2 linked regions of the Rattus norvegicus genome follow. The main gene of each other region encodes a partner of the protein of the gene in region 2 in a complex. Links are inferred from orthologs where the notes say so. Each region holds a gene or a part of one and is shown on either strand. Other genes may lie near its edges.

Region 1 (11,011 bases), on a different chromosome or scaffold from region 2:
AATAAGTGGAAGTAATTTTACTAGAAAGTCTAAAGAACCTACATTTTCCAAAAGGAGATTCATTGTATACAAAATGAGATGACTATCTACCTCAGAGGGTTGGTATGAGGGCCAATGAGAATATGTATTTGTGTAATATGTGGAATATAATATGTTCTCAATAAATACTAGTTTTTCTACTATCCCCTTTCTAACTCAGAACATTTATTTCTCTTTTTTTCTTTTTAAAAACAAAACACATAGAGAGCACTAGCCTGTGCTAGTATAGGACAGAATGTGCCAAAAGACGGTGGTATGGCATGAGCACCACATGATTAAACTGTCACCATATTTTGTTTATTTCTAACACTGAGAACTGAACCCAGGGTCTTAACACACACAGGCCTTGATCTAATATATTTATGTTGGGTTTTGGCTAATGACAATAATCTATGATTCCATAATAATGTTAAGTATCACAGTGAGGGCAATTCTATTTAACACGCTGGTCAGTCTTTGCAAGAACACCCTGGTACCTTGGGAAGGACAAGGAGAGCTATTGTGGAAAGGATGATTGGCAGCTGGAAACTGACACCAGGGCATCAACTGAAATCTTGATGTAGTCACAATGAGTCAGCTAAAGGAGGAATGTTTTCTTGTTGCTGTAGGGATACCACAATGAGTAGCCAGGATTTAAGTGGGCAGGAGAAGGAAGGAAGAAGGGTGTTTTCTTATTGTTTTCCACCAGCTGTTAATTTGAGCCACTTTTACAAAGTATTCCTTATTTGAATATTTAAAAATGTTGAGTGTCAAAGTTTGCTGTGTCAGACAGTGGGATATGTGTTGGAATCTTTGAACACTGTTAGGCAGGATTTATTTATGTGTGGCTACCTGCTAATTAAACCTTAAGTTAAATGTTATAAATGAAACATATGGGACAGTAGAAGGGAGTATGGAGTGAAAACTCTCTGAATAAATGGCTTTTAACCTGAGACCCCAAGGAAGGGTCATGTAATGACAGGAAGAATACAAAGAACTGTCCAGGAATGGGACTCTCTCTGGGAATTTATGACAATTGTGAGGTAAGAAGAAGTCAGTGTGGGGTTGGTAAGATAGTTCAGTCGATAAAGTGCATGCCTCCAAGTTTGCAGAGTGGAATTTGTATTTCTAGAATCCATGTAAAAGATGTGTCAGCACACATCTGTAACACCAGCATATCTTTCATAAGATGGGAAGTGGACACAGGAATCCTCAGGAGATTTCAATCTGTCTACCTGGCATACTCAGTAGTCAACAATAGAAGACCCAGGCCAAACAAGGTGGACGGCAAGGATGAATGCCTAAAGTTATCCTATGATCTCCATATAGTACACTCTTAACAGATTTGCCATGCACTGAACACATACATACTAAAACATCCATATATAAACAAAACCATAATAACTAGAAAAGACAGTACATAGATGGGGGACTGAACGGCAGTCTACCGGGTTGCAGCATGTGTGTTAAAGAGGAGGAGACACATGATGAAAGAGAGGGTGGTTTGCCTTTCCTTACTTGGGTATGTGCATGTGGATACAGGTACCTGGAAGGCCAGAAGGTGGCATTGCATTCCCTGGGGCTGGAGTTCCTCTTGTTTGTGAGTTGTCTGACATAGCTGCTGAGAACCAAACTCAGGTCCTCTTCAGGTAGCCTTAACCACTGAGCAATCTTTCCAGCTCCATTTTCTTCATTTTAAATGAAGATTAAAATAGGTTGATCAAATTATTAGTGTACATTAAGGGAACTTTCTCAAACTTATTATAACAATTTAGAAAACGCTTTATCATACCCAATGAACCATGTAGAATACCAGTGGATAGCCTATAGTCTTTAATTTATAGATTATGTTTGTTTGTTTCTATGTATGTTACAAGTTATGCTGTATTATTTAAATCATAGGATACTCTAACATACTCTAAGAGTTCTAGATGTAAATAATACAATTAACTCTATTTCATCATGGTAATCTCTGATCCTGCCTGATAACCAGTGGTGTAAGGGGGTTTGCTGTTTATGCACCATGGGAATTTATCAGAAAAGCATTAACATGCTTTTCAAATAAAGTGGCAAAAGACATGGCTGAAATCCATAAAGGAATCTAAGAGGGAATAAAAAGGAAAGGCAAGCAGATGGAAATGGATGGGAATAGATCACTACACTTTGGCTTTTCCTTCTTAAAATGTGCCAATGTTAGGATGGTCTATTAGACTACATACTAGTATTGCTACATAGATTCATTTCACTAAAAGAGACAGTTCTGACATTTTGCTCTGTAAGTATATAAAACCAACAAAAATTACAGACAGAAAATGAATATATAAGTTTATTACCTGTTGTGTTTACTAGGACATGGTTAGAGAGCATTTCTGAATATTGGAAGAGGGAATGATTTGATCACTTTAAATAGACAAGATAAAAGGACAGATAAGAAGAATTCAAAAGGAGAGAATTCTATAACTAGGGAAAAAAACCCAGCAGAGCAATTAAAATATTAATGACTCTAAGGAAGAGCCAAATCTAAGAAGGGGAGTGTGGTGGTGCACAGTTGTAGTGCCAGCACGTTCGATGTGAGCGCAAGAAGGTCGTGGATTTAAGGCCAGCTTGGCTACATGAGAAAGCAAAACACAACCGGAAATGAAAGAAACTGACACATCACCATACAACTGGAAAAATAAAACACTTGTGTGGAAAAATTATCAACGAATATTGCGCATTAAACCATCAAGCCTCAATTTCTATCACAGTCGGGAAGGTTTGTTTCCTACCTACGTCAAAATAATTTCACAAGGTGCTGTGAAGTTGACCACAGTGTGGGCAAAAGCAGAAACAGTCCTTTGGTTTCACATGAGTAATGTAAAAACATTTATTTTCAAAGGTAAACTCTGACCAATTGCACCCTAATTTGGCAACTATAGTAATGGAAAAAGGAAAATGTGCACAGTATATTTTCACTACTTCGCTTTGATTACAGAGAGCTGAAACTCTTATACAGTTGTGCTAACCAACATGAGAAACACTAGCCACATGTGATATTTAAATGTTTACTTAAGTTAACAAAAATTAAGAATTCCCCAAAATTAAGTTTCCCCAGTCCCGCTACATTTAGTCCCACTACATTATTAGCTACATTTAAGAGCTTAATAACAAAACACTTGCCCACATGTATCTGGTGTTTACCATCTCAAAAGGTCCAATTTTGGTACAATCTTGACTATAATATGAAAGTTCAGGTAAATACAGTTCTCTTTTTTATTTTAAAAAAAAAAGACATAAGTTCCAGAGGACATGTCTGAACTCATAGGTCATGATAGAGGACCAAGAACATAATGGGCCAACTTAGGAAAGTCTTAATATTGTGTGTATTCCACACTGCGTGTAAGTACACTTAAATCCTGACATCTATAGTTCTATTTAGATAGATAGGAGGATGAACGCGGTACATGTGTGAAAAATTTGAAGGAAATGCACAGAGAACCAAAGGCCATGGAACACTCCTTTTTGTATAATTCGGTGAAAGGGGTTTTAGCTGATATTTTCACAGATGCTATGCAACACTTTGCTCAAGTTTCTGTGAATTATTCTTGTAATAAGTCAGGGGCTTCTAGGTTTTAAAACTGGAAGTTTCCCATCCGAAAAAACTCCTCAAACCTGGGCAAATTGGAAGGGTTGGGTATCCTTCTGGTATGTTGTCGTGATTCAGGTTTCTAATGTGTTTTCCTAAGTAGCAGCCTATCACCCTGCTACAGGAGTAAATTTAACAATTACATAAAGGAAAGAGAACCTGCTCCAACGTGCCTTGACAGTTACTCCACTTTCCCAAACCCTGTATAATTATTGATTTCAGGTGCAGATATTGTGAGTTTTTTTTTAATGTTTATTTTTGCTTTCTCCAAATACAAACATTCATACCACTCTGCTTTCCTTTGTGGCATCCTTTGTCTGAAATGCTTGTCTATACTGCTAGACAGTCACAGAATGCACTTATCAAAAAAGTCAACTCAAATAGCAATTTTTATGTCCTCTTTAATCCCCCCCCTTGCTTATAATCTTCTAACTCCACCCCCAGTAAAACTACTTGCCATTTTCATACAGAGCTGGGCCATTGCATATATTCTTTTTACTGATTGCTTCCCTTTGCTGTCCTTTGCCTCACATGTTTGCTTTCCTTTTATTCCGAAGGTGTAAATGTCGTGATTGCTTTATTACTAATTTCCATCTGCTCTGGCACATAGGAAAGGCTCGTTAAAACCCATGTCGCCTAGATTTCAAAGCATATCACACACATGTTATTTGATCTTCTGAGTTCTGTGTTTGGCGGTTGGTCGCTTGTGTCTAGTTAGTTAATGATCAAACAGGTTCAGAGATAATGACTTGTCCAAGGTTTGGTGGGAACAGTACTGAGACTGAACTCCTTTTCTTAGGATTAGTACAGAAGGCCATCAGTCACCAATAGGATTACTCAGTGGTGCTAACAGAAAGGTAACCAGGACTTTAAGAGTGGACACTGGGTGCAAGTTCACTGTCATTTTTGTGCTCTCCAAGACCATTCCACACTGGAATGTTCCGTACTTCTCCAACTTAAACTATCCCTGCAAATACCTAGGGTACAAACTATTAATCCTTACCGATTCACAAGTTGTATTACACTATGAAAAACTCTTATAACTGTCTGGACTCTTCAGTTTCATGTGCTATTTGAACATCAACCCCCCACCAGAGAGATACATTTTACTTTGTGTCTTAGTCAAGGCTGTTAGCCACTGGATACTGTGAAGCATTATCCAAAGAGACTCTGGTAGATTGTGATCCAGTTGCCACTGAAATGTATCTTTACTCACTTCACCAGTTACAGGAAGTGGAGCCACACCCAACTTTACAATGTGCTTGGAGATCAGAGATACCCACCCTAAGTACAGCTTGTAAACCTTAGTTCAAAACTCAGAAAAATACACACCCATACCATAGGGCAACCAGAAAGTAAAAATGGTTTGCATATGTTCCTCCCAAGCCCATTTAAATAACTAGAAGCAAACAAAGAAAACCCCAAGCTATTTGTTCTTTTCTAAAATACTGTGAAATATGCAGGAAAATGGACAAATCTGTCAATTATTATAGTTAAGTGAGGTAACCGTGAAGTATTAATGCAAATCTTGTATAGGGATCTTAGCTTTTGTATGCGTGTATTTATGTGCTTGTGAGTATAGGTTATTAAACCTGAGAGGATACTGCGGGTTGGTTAAAGAAATGGAGTGGGAAGAGTAACAGGATGCATTTAACAAGAAAGTGCAGCGGGAATAACTGGGACAGAAGAATTGGAGACAGTATATGAGGGAGAGGTGTATGGAGTGAGGTTCAATCAAAACAATATACAATGCCACAATGAAATCTGCGACTTTGTACCAACCATCGCGCTCATGCAAGCAATCTTTATAAAACTCGGTGATTCTCCCCTCAACACAGACATACAGGAGATGTAAAAGCACAGGAGGGCTTATTGGTAAAAGCGGTTCTGCAGGAGAAGGGATGGTGGAAGGTAACGTGGTGGGGGCGACTAAAATTCATCATATACGTGTATAAAACCGTCAGAGTTAAAAAATAAATATCGAAGCATATAAAAAATCTTAAAAAAAAAAAAAAAGAAAACAAAGCGCTTGAGATTGTGGTGAAGCGGCTCCAGCGCAAACCTTCAGAACTGAGGGTCTCTCGCTTTGTCTTCAGTTCTCCCGGCTTTCGTTCCCTACCGGAGTAAGCGCGCCCTCGTTGACGCTCTTTGCCCGCGCCTGCGACGTCACTACTCCGCGCCGGCGGCACGTTGGACCGGCGGTATACCGGGCTTTACCGAGGGCAAAAATGGCTTTGGCTAGTGATTTCTACCTGCGGTACTACGTCGGGCACAAGGGCAAGTTTGGGCACGAGTTTCTGGAGTTCGAGTTTCGGCCGGACGGTGAGCGGCGGAGAGGCTGCGAGGGAGGGCGAGCCGCCCAGGGAATGGGTTTCTGTTTTTTTTTTTTTTTTTCCCTTTCTTATTTCAATGTACTTGTTAGTTTTGAGTCAGGGTCTTGTGTAGTGCAGGCTGACCTCGAACTCACGATTCTCTTGCTTCAGCCTTCGGGATAGTGGGATGGCAGGCATGTTACAACGCTCCAGACTCCAGAAGAACCGGTTTGGAGGGTTTCATACCAATGTTGGAAGAGTTTGCTTGTGTAGCACGCCTGCGCAGTGCTTGTAAGAGAAAAAAAAATGCTGTAAAGTAATTCAGAAAAGCGGATCTTGCCACTGTCAGAAAAATTGAACACACAGGAATCGGAAACTTAAGAGCAGAGAACCTGTGCTTCGGGAGTGTTAACAGAATTATCAAAAGACACATACTCTAGCGGATGCTTGTAATCTTTAGGTGGCCTTTTTGGCCTACTCATTCATTCACTATCTGTGTTAAGACTGCTTTGTAGGGGAGGAACCCCGTGTCTGAACACGGGAGTGTGATATGTGTCAGGTTTGAAAGACAATTCTTCACCAGTGGATGATGGACAAAGGTAAGGGAGTCAATGAATGCTCCCAGAAGCTCTTTTTGTGCTGCCTTCTAGATAGTTGGTCAGCTCTGTGTAGATGAGTCTGAATATCTCCTTCCTAGCCACCAGCTGTCAGAACACTTTCAGGTGGACAGTGAATACAAACTTTGTACTTTCTCGGAGAAGCAAATGGCCACAGAGGTAGCTACTGATGCTCTGGGTGAAGAGTGGATGGATGGGTTGTGTGGTCCCAATCACAAAAAGGACTGAGAATGACAAACGGTTTTACCATGAAGCAAGGCTTCTTGACCCAGTGCAGAGTACACCGGTTATTGTTAAAAAACAAAAATGATATTGCTGAACTGAGCCCCTGTCCCTCTGTACTTGGGTCTCAAAGAGCTAGCAGAATCCTAAAGTGTTTCAGTGTCTCTAAAGAAGATGATGTCTGCTCGTGCACCGTTGAAAAGCCCTTGAACAAAGACTGTAAGAAATCCAGGAAGAAAGCACGCAAGACCCAAACATCTAGTTACTTCATATGTCCTGGAACACCACCAACTCCAGTGTATTGTTCTGAAGAAACAATGCACTAAGAAAAATAAAGTAGCTACAGAATGAGCTAAACTTTTGACCTAGAGAATGAAGCTAGAGAAAAATACTTGGAACAGATTTCTAAGAGACGTAGGCTGTCCTCAATGGGAGCTTCTAATTTTGAGTATTAGTCCAGTAAACAATAAGTGTTTAAGAGTAAGAAATAAATGATCAGACCTTGAAAAACAAAAACAAACAAACAAACAAACAAAAAAAACCAACCAAACAACAACAACAAAAAAGGCTTTGCCTGAGTCTTTAATCCTAGCATTCTGGAGGCAGAGTCAGGCAGATGGAGTTTCAGAAAAGCCAGAGCTACACAGAGAAACCCTGTCCCCCGAACACAAAGATTCCCCCTACAAAAAAGAACCTTCCTCTAGAAGATGAGATACTTGATTGAGATAAAAACAATGAACCTTCTTGGTTTCTGGATGAGAGAAAACCCAGAAGAGAACAGAATTAGCAGGGATTTGTTGAAGCCCCTGTGTAGTGTAAGGCAATTCTTACCTGTACCAAGAATTTTTATTTGTGAATGTTCATTGTGTAGTCGGCAGTATATAAATGTCAAAGCCGAAGGTAGTTGGGAGATAAACATTTAACCTACGATAGGATAGTATGGATTTTATTTAAGTGCTTTGTGCAAGTTTTGCACAAGGTTCTTTGAAACGTAAGGAAAGGATCATGTATTCCAAAGGTTTGGAGCGTTTAGGAAGAAGTCAGCATAGCAGTCAGTGTCCTGCCGTTATTTTGAAACTTAATAACTTCAACCTTGTTTTCCAAATTTTGATGTCGTGGCCTGGTCTTTTACTCTTTTATTTTCTCTGCTTTTTTTTACTTATTCCTCTTGTAATTCAGTTCTTGTTCCTCTTGCCTGTGAACAACACCAGCTTGTCCTTATCGCCCTGAGTCACATGAATTAAGAACCCCACGGTATCAGGGGAATCTTAAGTAGAGGTCGGTCCTCATGCATCTCTGCCACCGCATTGCTCGACTCACATGCAAAATCATGAACCACAGAATCTGTCAGTTTGGCAGATGAGAAAGACATTGCAGCTGTATCAGGGCACCTGACTGACAGGGAAGCACACACCAGGGGCTTCAGAGCTTGTGAGGAATGGGTTGAATAAGTCAGCGAACAGGCTTGGCAGTTCATGTCGTTTGCATGCTTCCTAGTTAAAAAAAAATCATTATCTTATCCATATACACTAACATGAAGGGAAAGAATTGAGAGATCATTTTTGGAACTATAGAGAAAGAGTTGATCAAAAACAGACCTTTTGAGACTGTGTGACGCTGCGTAAGTTGCTTGCCTTGATTTTATCTCCTGTGAAGAGGTGAGAAAGTGAAACCCATTCTTAGAATTCCTTTAGAGACCAGGTGAAATATTGTGAGAACAGCACTAGGTACTCACATGACACTAAAGAGAATACTTAGTAGTTAGACACAGTCACTTTGTGCTCAGGGCTAGGTAAGAAAATAAACTGTTTACTGTGCACAACTTTAATCCCCAAACATAGGCAACGAGGCAGACGGATAGATCCCTGTTTGTTCAAGGCTGCCAACCTCGTTACACATTGAGATCTTGTCTCAAAGAAAGGAAGGAAGGAAAGAAGGAAGGAAGGAAGGAAAGCAAACAGACCTTAACAAACCTGACCCATTTTATGTTGAAGGTATGGATTATTTTAAAAATTACTAGCCTGCTTTTAATTGAGTATTTAGCATTGATCTTGCATGAGGAAAGTAGATATACTAATAAAAGTGGGATTATGGAATTATCTTTACCTTTAAAATTACTCATGATGTTCTCTTTCTCTCCACACAGGGAAGCTTAGATATGCCAACAACAGCAATTATAAAAATGATGTGATGATCAGAAAAGAGGCAAGTTCTATTTTCTCTCTCTCTCTCTCTCTCTCTCTTTTCTCTCTCTCTCTCTTTCTCTCTCTCTCTCCCTTTCTTTTGAGACAGCGTCTCACTTTGTAGCCCTGGCTGTCGGGGAACTCAGTGTAAGCCAACTAGACTGACTTTGAACTCAGAGATCCACCTGCCTCTGGCTAACTTCTGTTTACATGTTTATTTTTTTATATCTTGTTCATTTATCCTGAAGTTATTTCAGAGGTCTGTTTCAAGAAACCAATTTATAGATTGAAATGTTTTTATTTTAATTACATATGATTATAGCATTTTTTTAAAAAATTTTTTATTGTGTTTGTATGCAGCTGGTAGAAATTGGTTTTCTCTTACTATATGGGTTCTAGTGATAGAACACAGGACTTTTTCCTCGGCTGCCTTTACCCACTAAGTCATCTTGGTGGTTTTCATTTTAGTGTTTTTTTTTTTTAACAAAAGAATCACCCTTAATACTTATAACCCCATATCATTTAATTCATTTTATGAAGTGTAAATTTTAAATGAAAGGCGTGGAAGTCAGGCTGGCCTTTGAGTGCCAGCTCACGTGTGAGAGCATTGTGCTCTTACTCTATGGCCCTAATACTGGCCCAGTAACTGTAAGCTGCCTGGGTGCCCCTGCTTCCCCAGAAGAATATGGAGCCTCAAAGAAGCTAGAGTGGGAAGACGGCACAGTGTGTTGTAAAGAGCACGGTGTAGAAAAAGTAGCAGTAGTGAGAAGGACGATTTGGGATCAAATTCAGTTGTTCACGCCTATTGTGTTTGGACATTTAGTTAGGACTTGCTTTTATTTTGTCATGCTGAACTGTGGGACATTCAAACAGATGGGCATTTACAGATTTTATTGAACTGATTTTCAGGCTTATGTCCACAAGAGTGTAATGGAAGAACTGAAAAGGATCATTGACGACAGTGAAATTACAAAGGAGGACGACGCTCTGTGGCCGCCTCCTGACAGGGTTGGCCGGCAGGTCTGTGCCTTGTGAGTTTTTAAGTGGATAGAGTCAAAGTTGGTAATATACTTAGTGTGTTTTTAGGATTTTTTTTTTTAATTGAAACTTTGATTATATAACTTTACTTTCTCTGTAAACTTTTTAATTTTGGTATTGGAGATTGAAGTCAAGGTTTGTACATTCCCAGCAAGCAAATGCTTCTGAGTTACACCTCACAGCCCTTACTTGGCTCCATTTTCCTTGCTAGCTCCACTTACTAAAGGTATTAGCACATAGCTCTAAAGTTAGGCAGTAACATCTTTTCTCTAACTTGTACAGCTCAAGCTTGGACATTTTGACACTTATGAGTTATTTATTATAAATTAGCTATTATTATTAGTTATTTCTGCTATAAATATGTATACACCATCATTGCTAGCTAAATTTGAGAGTTATGGTTATTCTCATTGAATGTAGCAGTTCACTTTCTCCAATTTCTTGTCTTAACATTCATATATCTGAGAGCCGCAGAGAGAGACCCGATGGATTTCTTTGCTCAAGTGGACCATTGTGTTTGCTTCTTAGACCCCCCTCAGAATAATCGATGTTTCCAAAGTGCTCCCAAAGAACTCGGCAGGCCCAATTTCACTCTGTATAGACAGTTTGGTTTCTAAATTGGGACTTTTCAACTCTTAGAGAAATGAGATACAAGGTCGAAAGAACTAAGCATCTAATGTCACTTTTGTGTGTTCTGAGGACTATACATATGGCGGGCACTCTTTTTGACGAGAAGAAAGATCTGTAGAGAAGCCTGGCACATGTTGAAAGGAGCAGTGGTGGAACTGTTCTGTGGCAGGAACTCCATGCAGAGCGTCGTATCAGGAAGCAGAGGCGGTGGTCTGTGTCCTGCGGGAACCCGAGTTACAGGGCCACTGCATAGGAGTAACTGGGCATCTGTGTCCACAGAGAACAGCAGGGCATTTTAAAACTATTAAACTTGTTTCTACAGGGAGGATGTGATATGCAGATTTGTCTGTGTTAATAAGGCGATAT
Region 2 (10,236 bases):
GGATGGGGTGGAGGTGAGGCGAGGGGTACTCCCATTGGCTGAAGCCTGAGGTCTGCTCCCACAGTGGTCTGCACTGCATAACCATAGTGTGAGACAAGGCACATGCCTGAGGTAGCTTTAGCACCCCATCTGAAGTAGAGATGTCCAAAGCCTAGGACTTCAGCACCTGTCCCTTACGGTGGCTGAAGGCAGCAAGGGGCCTTTGCACAGTCCTGTCCCCTCCCAGCTGTTACATGACTTAGTATCAGTGTCCCTTTTCCTAGCTAGAGGGTCAGATCAAGTTTGGGACAGGAGAAATACACAGCCACTTTAACCTGTCAGAGAAACCAGTCAAAGGCTGTTGTTGTTCAGTTCACACCTTCTAGAATGACAGGGTCCATCTGTGTGTCAGTTAGCAACTGACTCATCCATGTCATCGATGACTGTTCTTGACTGTTCTGCCGGTTTCCCATTTTTCTCATTCTGACACTTCTGAGAGGGAGGCTCATTAAGGTTCCAGAAGCTCCTTAAACACAAGGTTTATAGGGTCTCCCCAAGTTACGCAGCAATGACAGACACCTAAGAGGAAACTACAACTGGCTGAGCTGTTTTTATACAATGCTGACTTACTATCAGTGGCACAACTCATTACGACAGCATTAGTGGCTTTAAATCACACAGATGAACTCTGCCACAGTTCTACGGGTCCAAAACACAAACTTGGCTGAAGTCAGGGTGTTAGAGGCTGTTGTCTGTTCTGCTCACGGGCTGTTGGCAGAATCAGCTATGGTTTAAGTGTTGTCCCCTGCTGACTGAGGTCAACCCTCATCTTCAAGGCTCCTCCAGGTCTTCCTCCCTCTCCTCAGCCTGGTCTCCTCAGCATGTCTTACCTGGTACCGTCCCCTAATCTCATGCAGCCAAAGCTCCAACCCTCACCGGATGTGAGTGCATAAACTCCAGGGTGACCTCTCCATCCCCAAGGCTTGGCTGAGTGCCATTGCAGGATCAGGTTCACCAGGTAACTCATAAACTCCATGGCCCTGTCACATGCACCTCCCCACTCCCAGTTTGTGCTTCCCTTTGCTACTCTGTCCTCTGTGGATGCAGTCCGCATCCAAGCTCCTTCTCCACCATCTTCAAGTCGAGACCTTTGCCCAGCCTGTAGTCACTACTTTCTCCTGACTTCTTCTATGGACTCTGTTGCCGGGCTGTTTCACGTCTTAAACTAGATCCTGCACATGTGAAGGTAGGGAAAGAAGTGGTCTGTTCATGACCAGACCAGGAAAGCTGGTGACACAAGAACTCTGCACTCTAAGTCGTGGGAAAATTTCCATGTTTAATGTAAAAGATTTAGCGCATTGGATTATTTACACGTGCATTAGAAAAGATGGCAGAGGCCGAGGGTCCTCCTGAGGGCTATGAGAAGACAGTTCATATAAACCCCATTAAATAGAAGCTTCCATGTCCAAAGAGGAGCTCCAAACAGGCCCTTGGTGTACCAGCACCAGCTTCAGATGAGGTCAGCCACTGAAGGGGAAGACAGACACTTGTTAATATGTCACCTCCCTAACCCTAGTAAGGGAGCCCCACCCACAGCCACCAGTACAGCCAACAACTTGCCATTCATAGGCATCTCATCTATCTGGGTGGAGTAGTACTGCTCAATGTCCCTGAGGATGCGGATGTCATCATTCTTCACAAAATTGATGGCCACACCTTTGCGTCCATATCGACCTGATCTCCCGATTCTTTTGATTAAAATATAGGTGTTAGTAAGCAGTCACACACACGAGGGTCCAGGGTGTGAGCAAGGGAAGGAAGCACACACCTGTGAATGTACAGTTCTCTGTTGTTGGGCAGGTCATAGTTAATGATGAGGGACACCTGAGGGACATCGAGGCCCCGCGCCCAGACATCTGTGGAGATGAGCACTCGGCTGCAGAATAAAAGGCAAAGGTGAGAGGGAGCAGAGCGGCCTCTGCAGTGTGAGCAGAGCGGCCTCTGCAGTGTGAGCAGCACACCAGTGCTCACGTCACCTGCAGGCCACTGGAAAACCTGCTGCAATCAGACGTGGGCTGACAAGACCACAGCTGAGGGTCTTTTAGAGTTCATTTGTTTAAAGACAGTACCTCCAGGAAAACACGACGTCTGCTTAGCAAAAACCCCATTAAGAACAGGAGCCTACTACTGATGACCCCATTTCAACCCATACCCCTCCCACACTATAGCAGATGCTCTGAGCAAGTGGTGTCAACTGCCACAGAGGACACAGTCATGATGATGCCACCCATCTGAAACATGCCTGGTCCTAACAGACACGCTAGGTGTGCAAGGATACGGGGCTAGAAAGCAGTGTAAGAACACAAGACGGTTACACTCCTGAAATGGTGTCACACTGACAGTGAGCTAGAAACCACCTGCTTGCTTCCCCTACTGCCACGGTTACTAGAAAGGAGCTGGACTCCTGTTTCCACTGCAAGTTAGGGGAAGGAGAATCCCAGAAGTCTCCAGAGGTACGCATGCGTGAGCACCTACTTCCCTGACTTTGTGTAGCATCGCAACCGACCCAGGAGGAAGGGAAAAGGCCAGAGCAGTGTGAGACAAGCAGGTCAGGGCTCCAAATGGTCACAGATGGCAAAAGGACACAAAAGGTTTCACCTAGAGTCAGCCGAGACCAACTGCTGAAACCAAAACCAGAAGAAAAGCAGAGAAGCCTACAGGCAGGAGCTGCTTAAAAGAGCAACTGGATTGGGAACTGAGGCCTCAGAATGAGGGGCCAACAGCTGGCAGACCCTCACCTCATCGAGGCAGAAGGTAACTACTGGGCATGGTGGGTCATCGTAGCAGCATCCCCTTCACCTCTCCTTGACACTCTGAGGTGAAGGAAACACTTCCAGACAGATTGAAGCAGGACGCTCATCCTCAGACCCAAACTAACTTGAACATGTCTCAGATTCAGAGATGAAGAAAGGCAGGTTAAACATGTATAAATCTAAATAAATAAACCCTACCCTATAAAGCACAATGACACTGCAAACTAAAACATACGTTAATCTCCAGCACTGAAGTGTGTGTGTGTGTGTGTGTGTGTGAGAGAGAGAGAGAGAGAGAGAGAGAGAGAGAAAGCACACATGGTTTAACAGGCATGAAACAAATCTAGGTCCTTGTACCGTCTGCAAAGACAGGAACGTAGCTCTGATAACAGATGCTAGCATCTCCAGGTAGGTACTAAATAACATAAAATTTTTAAAATACATTAAAGAGAAGGAAAATAGTTTAAAAAAATAAAAAATTAAGTCAGACATGGTAGCACACGTCTTTAATCCCAACATTCGGGAAACAGAGGCAGGCAGATCTTTGTGAGTTTGAGGACAGCCTAGTCTACAAACAGCAGACTATCCAGTACAGGATAGTCAGGGGTCTGTTACACAGAGAAACCCTGTCTTGAAAAACCACACACAAAAAACAAACAAAAAAACAAAGGAAAGAAAAACAGAGGGAAAATTCACTTCTAAGATCAGTACATACATGTAATAAACTGCTCTGAATGGTCCACTTCTGTGACTCCTATACTCCAGTGGAGACAGGAGATCATAAACCCTGAACTGCACAGACAAACCCTGTCTCAAACTCTATATCGTTCCAATTTTAGTATATGTGCTGCCGAAGCGAGCACCTGTCTCAAACTCTAAAACCAAACAGAAACGCAGGTGGTGGCGGCAGCTCGAGCCTTTAATGCCAGCACCCAGGAGGCAGAGCAGGTGGATCTCCGAGTTCAAGCCTGGTCTATGGATGGTGTTCCAGGACAGCCACGGCTACACAGGGAAACACAAAGCCAAGCAGACAAGCACCCTAACACCAAACCAAACCAAAACCAGAGAGGGAGAGAACAATCATCAGAGTGCTGACAAACCAAACTCAATTCTGACTTCTCTGAGAAACATTATTTAAAAAAAAAAAAAAAAAAAGCAGAAGGATGAGCCCTGCCCAGGCTCACAGGCAAAAGTTGTCAGCCAGGCTTCAGGACACCAAGGGCAGGTTCAAGTCTCCAAAGAAAAACTGTAACTGCACACCCATATCCAAGGTGAGGACGGATACAGCCAGCATCAGAAGACAGGCCAGTGACCTGGCTCAGTCGTTTACTTAGTCAGGGAGCTTAATGCCAAGCCTGACAGCCCAAGTTCAATCCCTGGGACCAACATGGTGAAGAGAGAGCTGCATTCCACATTGGTCCCCGACCTCCACACACTCTACACAGCACATTCAACCCTACAGCCACAGGGAAACATAGGACGGGCGCCTCACCTACTCAGTCACAGAGAACTGACTATGAGAGGGAGGGATCCCAGCAAGCAGAGGGCTATCACAGGCTATCAGCTCCAGTCTAGCTGGGCATCTCTTGTTGAAGGACAGACAGACACACACACACACACACACACACACACACGCCAAGTGTGTCCCCAGGGAATCACAACAGGCCTGAATCAAAGACAGACTCTCGAGGCCTGTTCTCTGAGCACTGTGACTGCCGATCCAATACCTGATCACCAGAAGTTGAACAGAAACTAGCGTGAATACAATAAACCAATGCTAGCAGCGGTTCACCACCAACCCAACAGCCCGCACGGGACAGCGTCCTCTCAGAGAGCAGCATCAGCCCCTGCACCTGGGCCCTGAGGGCAGTGCCATCCGTCCTCCCACAGGAGCCAAAGCTGCAAGGCCTACCTGGCACCTGACCGGAACTCCTTCATGATGGACTCACGCTCTTTCTGGGGCATGTCTCCGTGCATGGACGACACTGTGAAATTGGCTTCTCTCATTTTCTCTGTCAGCCAGTCAACCTACAGATCAGAACAAAAGAGGTGCTCATCCACCCATCCAGAGACCTGTACAATGGCAGCTCTCAACAGCAGATTTACAGAGTCGCAGAGGAAACTCCCCCACCAACTCTCGCAGACTCTGCCAGCAGACACCACTTCAACCCAGCTTAAACCAAAGGCATCCAAATGATGACATAAGACCCGTGTCGGTAACCCCCTTCTGTCCTAGACGCAGACCTTCTGTGACCTCCCTGCTCAGAGGCCCCAGCAGTTCCCCCACTGCCAAATCTCAGCGTTTCCATCTAACGCACCGGCCACAGCTGAATTAACAGGAACCCAAGCCCAAGCCACACCCTGGGCCTCTGACAGACAGGACACCCAGCCTGCAGCTCCCCAAGACCGACACAGTGCAGAGCAGCGCACCTTCCTCTTGGTGTTGCAGAAGATGACAGCCTGGGTGATGGTCAGCGTGTCGTAGAGATCACAGAGAGTGTCGAACTTCCATTCCTCTCTTTCCACGGCCACGAAGAACTGTTTGATGCCTTCCAGAGTCAACTCATCACTGAGAACAGAGCTCACGTCACTCTCCAACCCAGAATCCGAGGGACAGGGCCACGCTGAGCCCCCAGCCCTCCTCTACCCAGCTGGCTTTAGACCTTTCCAGTTCTCGGTCCCTTGGGTTCCTCTCCCTCCGCAGACCACAGAACCCCACGGAGCACACAGCTCAGGCTTAGAAATGGAAGAGGGTAGAGATCATTAAACCTGGCTTCCACCCAGGGAATGAAGGGATGCATCCTTACCGCTTCACCAAGATGCGGATGGGGTCGGTCATGAACTTGTTGGTCATCTCCAGGATCTCATGGGGCAGCGTGGCGCTGATGAGAACAACCTGAGTGGCTGGTGGCAAGTACCTGTACACGTCATAGATCTGCTCCTTGAAACCTGCAGCAGATGTGGTGAGCTCGGCGTTGGCTTTCAGGCTGTCACTGAGAGCCACACAGAGGGACTTCAGAGAAGTCGGTGGTCAGAGCGAGTTCACAGGTGCGCATGTGAACACCTGAACCCTGACCCAGGCCATGTGCAGTGCCAAACCAGACAATAAGAAGACACTGTCACCCCAGCTAGGACTGGTCTCAAAAACATTAACAAAACCACAAAAACATTACAATAAAAGTTTCAGGTTCAAAACCCCACAAGACGGGCTGGAGAGATGGCTCAGCGGTTAAGAGCACGACTGCTCTTCCAGAGGTCCTGAGTTCAATTCCCAGCAACCACATGGTGGCTCACAACCATCTGTGATGGGATCTGATGCCCTCTTCTGGTGTGTCTGAAGACAGCGACAGTGTACTCATACTCATAAAACCAATAAATAATTAAAAAAAAAAAAAAACCCACAAGACACACTGCTTCTGCAAAAAGTAAGGACTGTCACACACACCTAACAGTATGTTACTAGAAAATTCTGGTCCCCTTACCTTTGTTCAACATTTCATCAGCTTCATCCAAAACCAACATCTTGATTGCCCGTGTCCTTAAACTTCTACGGCGGATCATATCTGGCAATTAGATTTTGAAAGAATCACATGTGGGTCTAAGGAAAGAGCTAGCCACTCCCACTGGTCCCCAGAGCCCTCAGAAGCTGTCCCACCATGTGGTGTATACAACTGAACTGCCACGTCCTTTGAGCACACCTCATAAACACCACCCACAGCCCAGGTCTCAACAAGAGAAGCACTCACCAAAGACTCGTCCTGGTGTGCCCGCCACAACATGCTGCCCATAGTCCAGCTTCCGGATGTCCTCCCCGACATTGGTGCCACCAATGCAGGCATGGCACTGCACGTTCATGTAATCCCCCAAAGCAAGCAGACCCTGAAGCAAAATAGGTTTCCATGAGAGGCCCGCAGTCAGACACATCTCAAGGGTCATCTCTACTTTAATGGGAGACACCACCTACCACTCACTCACTTAAGCTCTTTCCTCTGTCAAAAGGAAATTCAATTTAGGGTTTCCTGATACTGAAGGGGTGCAAACCAAGTGTGGGAAAAATCACAGTTGATAATCATACCGTATTAACATCCCAATACATATCCCTCCAAGACTAGAAGGAAAGTCATTATTTGATTAAAATGAACTTCATTTTCCTGTGAGGAAGGAACCAGGGCCTTGTGTACTTCGGCAGAGCCAAGTACCGCTGTGCCACATTCCTAGGACCATGGCTACACCAGGAGAGCAGAGACCAGGTAAGAACCACCAGCGAGTCAGACAACAGGTTGCCAGGCACACACAGCTCGGTTCCTGCTTCTTGTGTTGTCAAAACCAAAAACGAAGAAGGAAAGTGTGGGTGGGAGGACAGCGGGGGTCAGCGTTCCCTCCACCTTTACAAGGATTCTGGGAGGTGCACTCAGGTGTGAGCCACAGCACCTTCACCCGCTCCATCGCCGTGTGGACCCCCAGCAAAACAGAAATCACCTCCCTTCCATACAACGACACGTGCAAACACAGCGGCACTCTCTACTGCTGCTCAGGGATTGATGGGCCTCACACGTGGGGACAGCAGCACTGTCACAGGGCGGCACCAGCCTGGCACACCATCTCCGACTGTCTCACCTTCTGAATCTGCACTGCTAACTCTCTTGTTGGAGCCAATATCAAAGCTTGGGTTTCTCGAACCTAGTGAGTTAGAGAAAAGAAATGTCATGAGATTGTACAGAGGAATGGACAGGTTTTCCTATGACATGTCCACAGTCACTCTCATTCTCTTACCCCTTCCCTATCTCTTCCCAAACGGTCCCATCTCTACTTTCAAATCCTCTTTGAAAAATTAAAAAAAAAAAAAAAAAAAAACTAGATTCTGGATGAGAGGGAACCTGATATCTGTCCAAGTCCAGCTTCCTGCCCTGAGCCTGTCAGCCATCAGTCTCAGTGTCACTCGCACGGCTTGCTAACAAGCACTGGGACCTACTATAAACACTAGCTTGGGTTAGCTCGCTGCTCTTTCCTAACCAGCCTCAGGAGACACTAAATTTGAAGGCCAGCAAGAGCGCTGACAGTCAGGGCTCTCCTGTGAAGGTCAACCACACCCCATCTAAAACCTGCACTCAGTACACACAGCATTGGCATTAAAGAGCATTTGCTGCGAGTGGCAAATCACCTGGATATCCAAGCACTGAAGGACTGAAATACTGAAGGTGGCCGTCTTGCCTGTGCCAGACTGAGACCTGTTTAAGAAAGCACAAGGTAGTTATCAGAGAAAGAGCATCTGACACTGCCCCTGTTCTAGGGACCCCAGCCCACAGCAGTGCTCCCTCCAAAGGCCTGGCTGCAGACATGTGCAGCAGCTTCTTACTAGGAGCCCCTGCTCCTGCCCTGTTGGAGGGTGGGTTTGTGCACTGTAAAGGTTCCTAGCATTAGTCAGATGCTGGGTTCTGTGCAGGCAGAGCTGAGTGCAGGCCAGGCTTGGTGACTTATGTTCATGAAGTATCACCCATCTCAGTGCTTTGTAAACTCCGTCACCTCCCGACTGGTTCAGGAAGGAGCTCATTGTTTAGCTCAACAGAAGAGAAGCAGGGGTGCCCAGACACCAGAGGAGGGGAGGGGGAATGGAGGAAGTGAGGAAACCACAGGGAGAAGGTATAGAGAAACCATGAGGAGAGACATGGACCAGAGCAGACAGCAGGTGACAGGGCATGTGTCCGGTGTCAGCAGCCTAGTCAGGTGAGAGTCTCAGAACCTGGCCAGCTTAAGCTTTACGGCTTGTTAATAAAACACCAGGCTAGAGCAGGCTTAGAAACACCAGCAGTTATCTGAGAACAAGGAGGACATAGAAACTCCATGAATTAATCTCACACTCTCCCAAACATCTTAACTCCAACAGTGGGAGACCAAAGTACAAGGTCACTTCTTATTCTTATTTTTCACCTTTACTTATCTGTGTGACTGAACATGTGTGAAACTTCTTTCAAAGCCGGGAAGAGGATGCTGGACCTGAGGCTGCAGTTATAGGCAGCTCTGAGCCACTCAGTGTGGGTACCAAGAACTGAACTTGGGAACAGAGCGAGCGATCTCCACAGCTCCCAGAGAGACAAACTGCTACAGACAGAATGGATGTGGGGCTTCTACACCAGGACACCAGAACTAAGAAACTGCAACGCCAACAAGAACTTCCCAAAGGAGGCAGAAAGGGGACCTCTCCCTTTAATGCACCAGCTCCTAAAGTCTGAAGTATGATGTAAAGGATAACTGGTCATTTATAGTTCAGTAGTAGAGAAGGCCCTGGGCTCTGTACCTAGCATGCACCTTTAATCCAAATAGCAGCCAGAATTCTGAGTTGGAGGCCAGCCTGGTCTACAGAGAAACCCTGTCTCAAAGGAAAAAGAAAAGAAAGCTAATGAAAAAGTACTTTACACAAATCCATAGATCTACATTCAGGACCTAGGGCTACATCAGCGTAGTGTGTGCAATGACCTCCATAGGACCCAGAATACACATCCAAAAACAAGTCGGCATAAATAAATAAGGCAGGCTCAGCTCCCCACAGCTCTCCCCGAGGACCCAACTCGCTCTCAGCGCCCACAACTTACTGTGCAATGACATCTCTCCCTTTAATTATCTGCTTGATAGCACGCTGTTGGATCGCAGAAGGTTTTTCAAAACCTAGAAATGCAAAGAGGAAACACTGTAACTCCCCAGGACTGTGACGGCATGAACTACCTGGGGAACACACACTTGCTCCTTCCTGCCAATCCCAGGCAACACAGGCAGAGCTGAGCACATCTTCACAGACCAGCCTACAGGACTACCTGTCAAGATGCTACCCACTACACCAACACTTGGAGGGCAGAGGCAGGAGCATCAGGAGTTCAAGGCCAGTCTAAGCCACACCAAACCCGCTCTACAAGCAAAAGCACAAACCCAGAAGCACTGCAGTTGCTGCCCTTTCCTGCTACCAAGCACTCAAACCCCAGCTGGTGGTGTCTCCCGAGTACTGAGCCTGCACAGGCATGGGGAGACGCCCTGTGCTGCTCTCCTGTTTGCACGAAGGCCCATCATCAAGGGACCACCCACCTGCTGGGCCATCACTACTAGCAAGGAGAACAGTATGAAAGACTGGACAAGGCTGTGCACTCCCTTAATCCCAGCAGGAGAAGCTGAGCAGGGGGATCTCTGTGAATTCCAGGCCACCTGGTTCACAGAATGAGTTCCAGACCAGCCAGAACTAGGTAGAGAGACTGTGTCTTAAAACAAAACAAACAATGAAAACACAAGTATTTTCCAAATAAGCAGATAGGATTTATAAGAAAAGATGTTGTTAAACATCTTGGTGACGCACACCTTTAATCCCAGCATCTGGGAGGCAGAGGCAGGGGATCTCTGAGTTAGAGGCCCAGTTTGGTCTACTAAGAGTTACAGGACAGCCAGGGGTACATGGAGAAAC

The links. The genes of interacting proteins can lie anywhere in the genome.
Region 1: Eif4a3 (region 2) and Magohb share a complex: the UniProt entries of both Homo sapiens proteins name them as parts of the mRNA splicing-dependent exon junction complex. The link is inferred for Rattus norvegicus from reciprocal best matches to the Homo sapiens genes EIF4A3 and MAGOHB.

Annotation. Positions count from the first base shown.
Region 1 is NC_086022.1:166,768,201-166,779,211, reverse strand, and holds the start of Magohb (protein mago nashi homolog 2), read left to right. Parts: upstream 1-5,871; coding exon 5,872-5,965; intron 5,966-8,635; exon of another isoform or gene 8,636-8,788; intron 8,789-8,940; coding exon 8,941-8,999; intron 9,000-9,886; coding exon 9,887-9,997; exon of another isoform or gene 9,998-10,008; intron 10,009-11,011. UniProt on the Homo sapiens protein: Required for pre-mRNA splicing as component of the spliceosome. Plays a redundant role with MAGOH in the exon junction complex and in the nonsense-mediated decay (NMD) pathway.
Region 2 is NC_086028.1:105,046,272-105,056,507, forward strand, and holds the end of Eif4a3 (eukaryotic initiation factor 4A-III), read right to left. Parts: intron 9,456-10,236; coding exon 9,383-9,455; intron 8,021-9,382; coding exon 7,954-8,020; intron 7,473-7,953; coding exon 7,410-7,472; intron 6,672-7,409; coding exon 6,539-6,671; intron 6,356-6,538; coding exon 6,275-6,355; intron 5,742-6,274; coding exon 5,600-5,741; intron 5,362-5,599; coding exon 5,223-5,361; intron 4,821-5,222; coding exon 4,705-4,820; intron 1,916-4,704; coding exon 1,808-1,915; intron 1,728-1,807; coding exon 1,600-1,727; intron 1,507-1,599; coding exon 1,490-1,506; 3' UTR 1,296-1,489; downstream 1-1,295. UniProt on the Homo sapiens protein: ATP-dependent RNA helicase. Involved in pre-mRNA splicing as component of the spliceosome. Core component of the splicing-dependent multiprotein exon junction complex (EJC) deposited at splice junctions on mRNAs.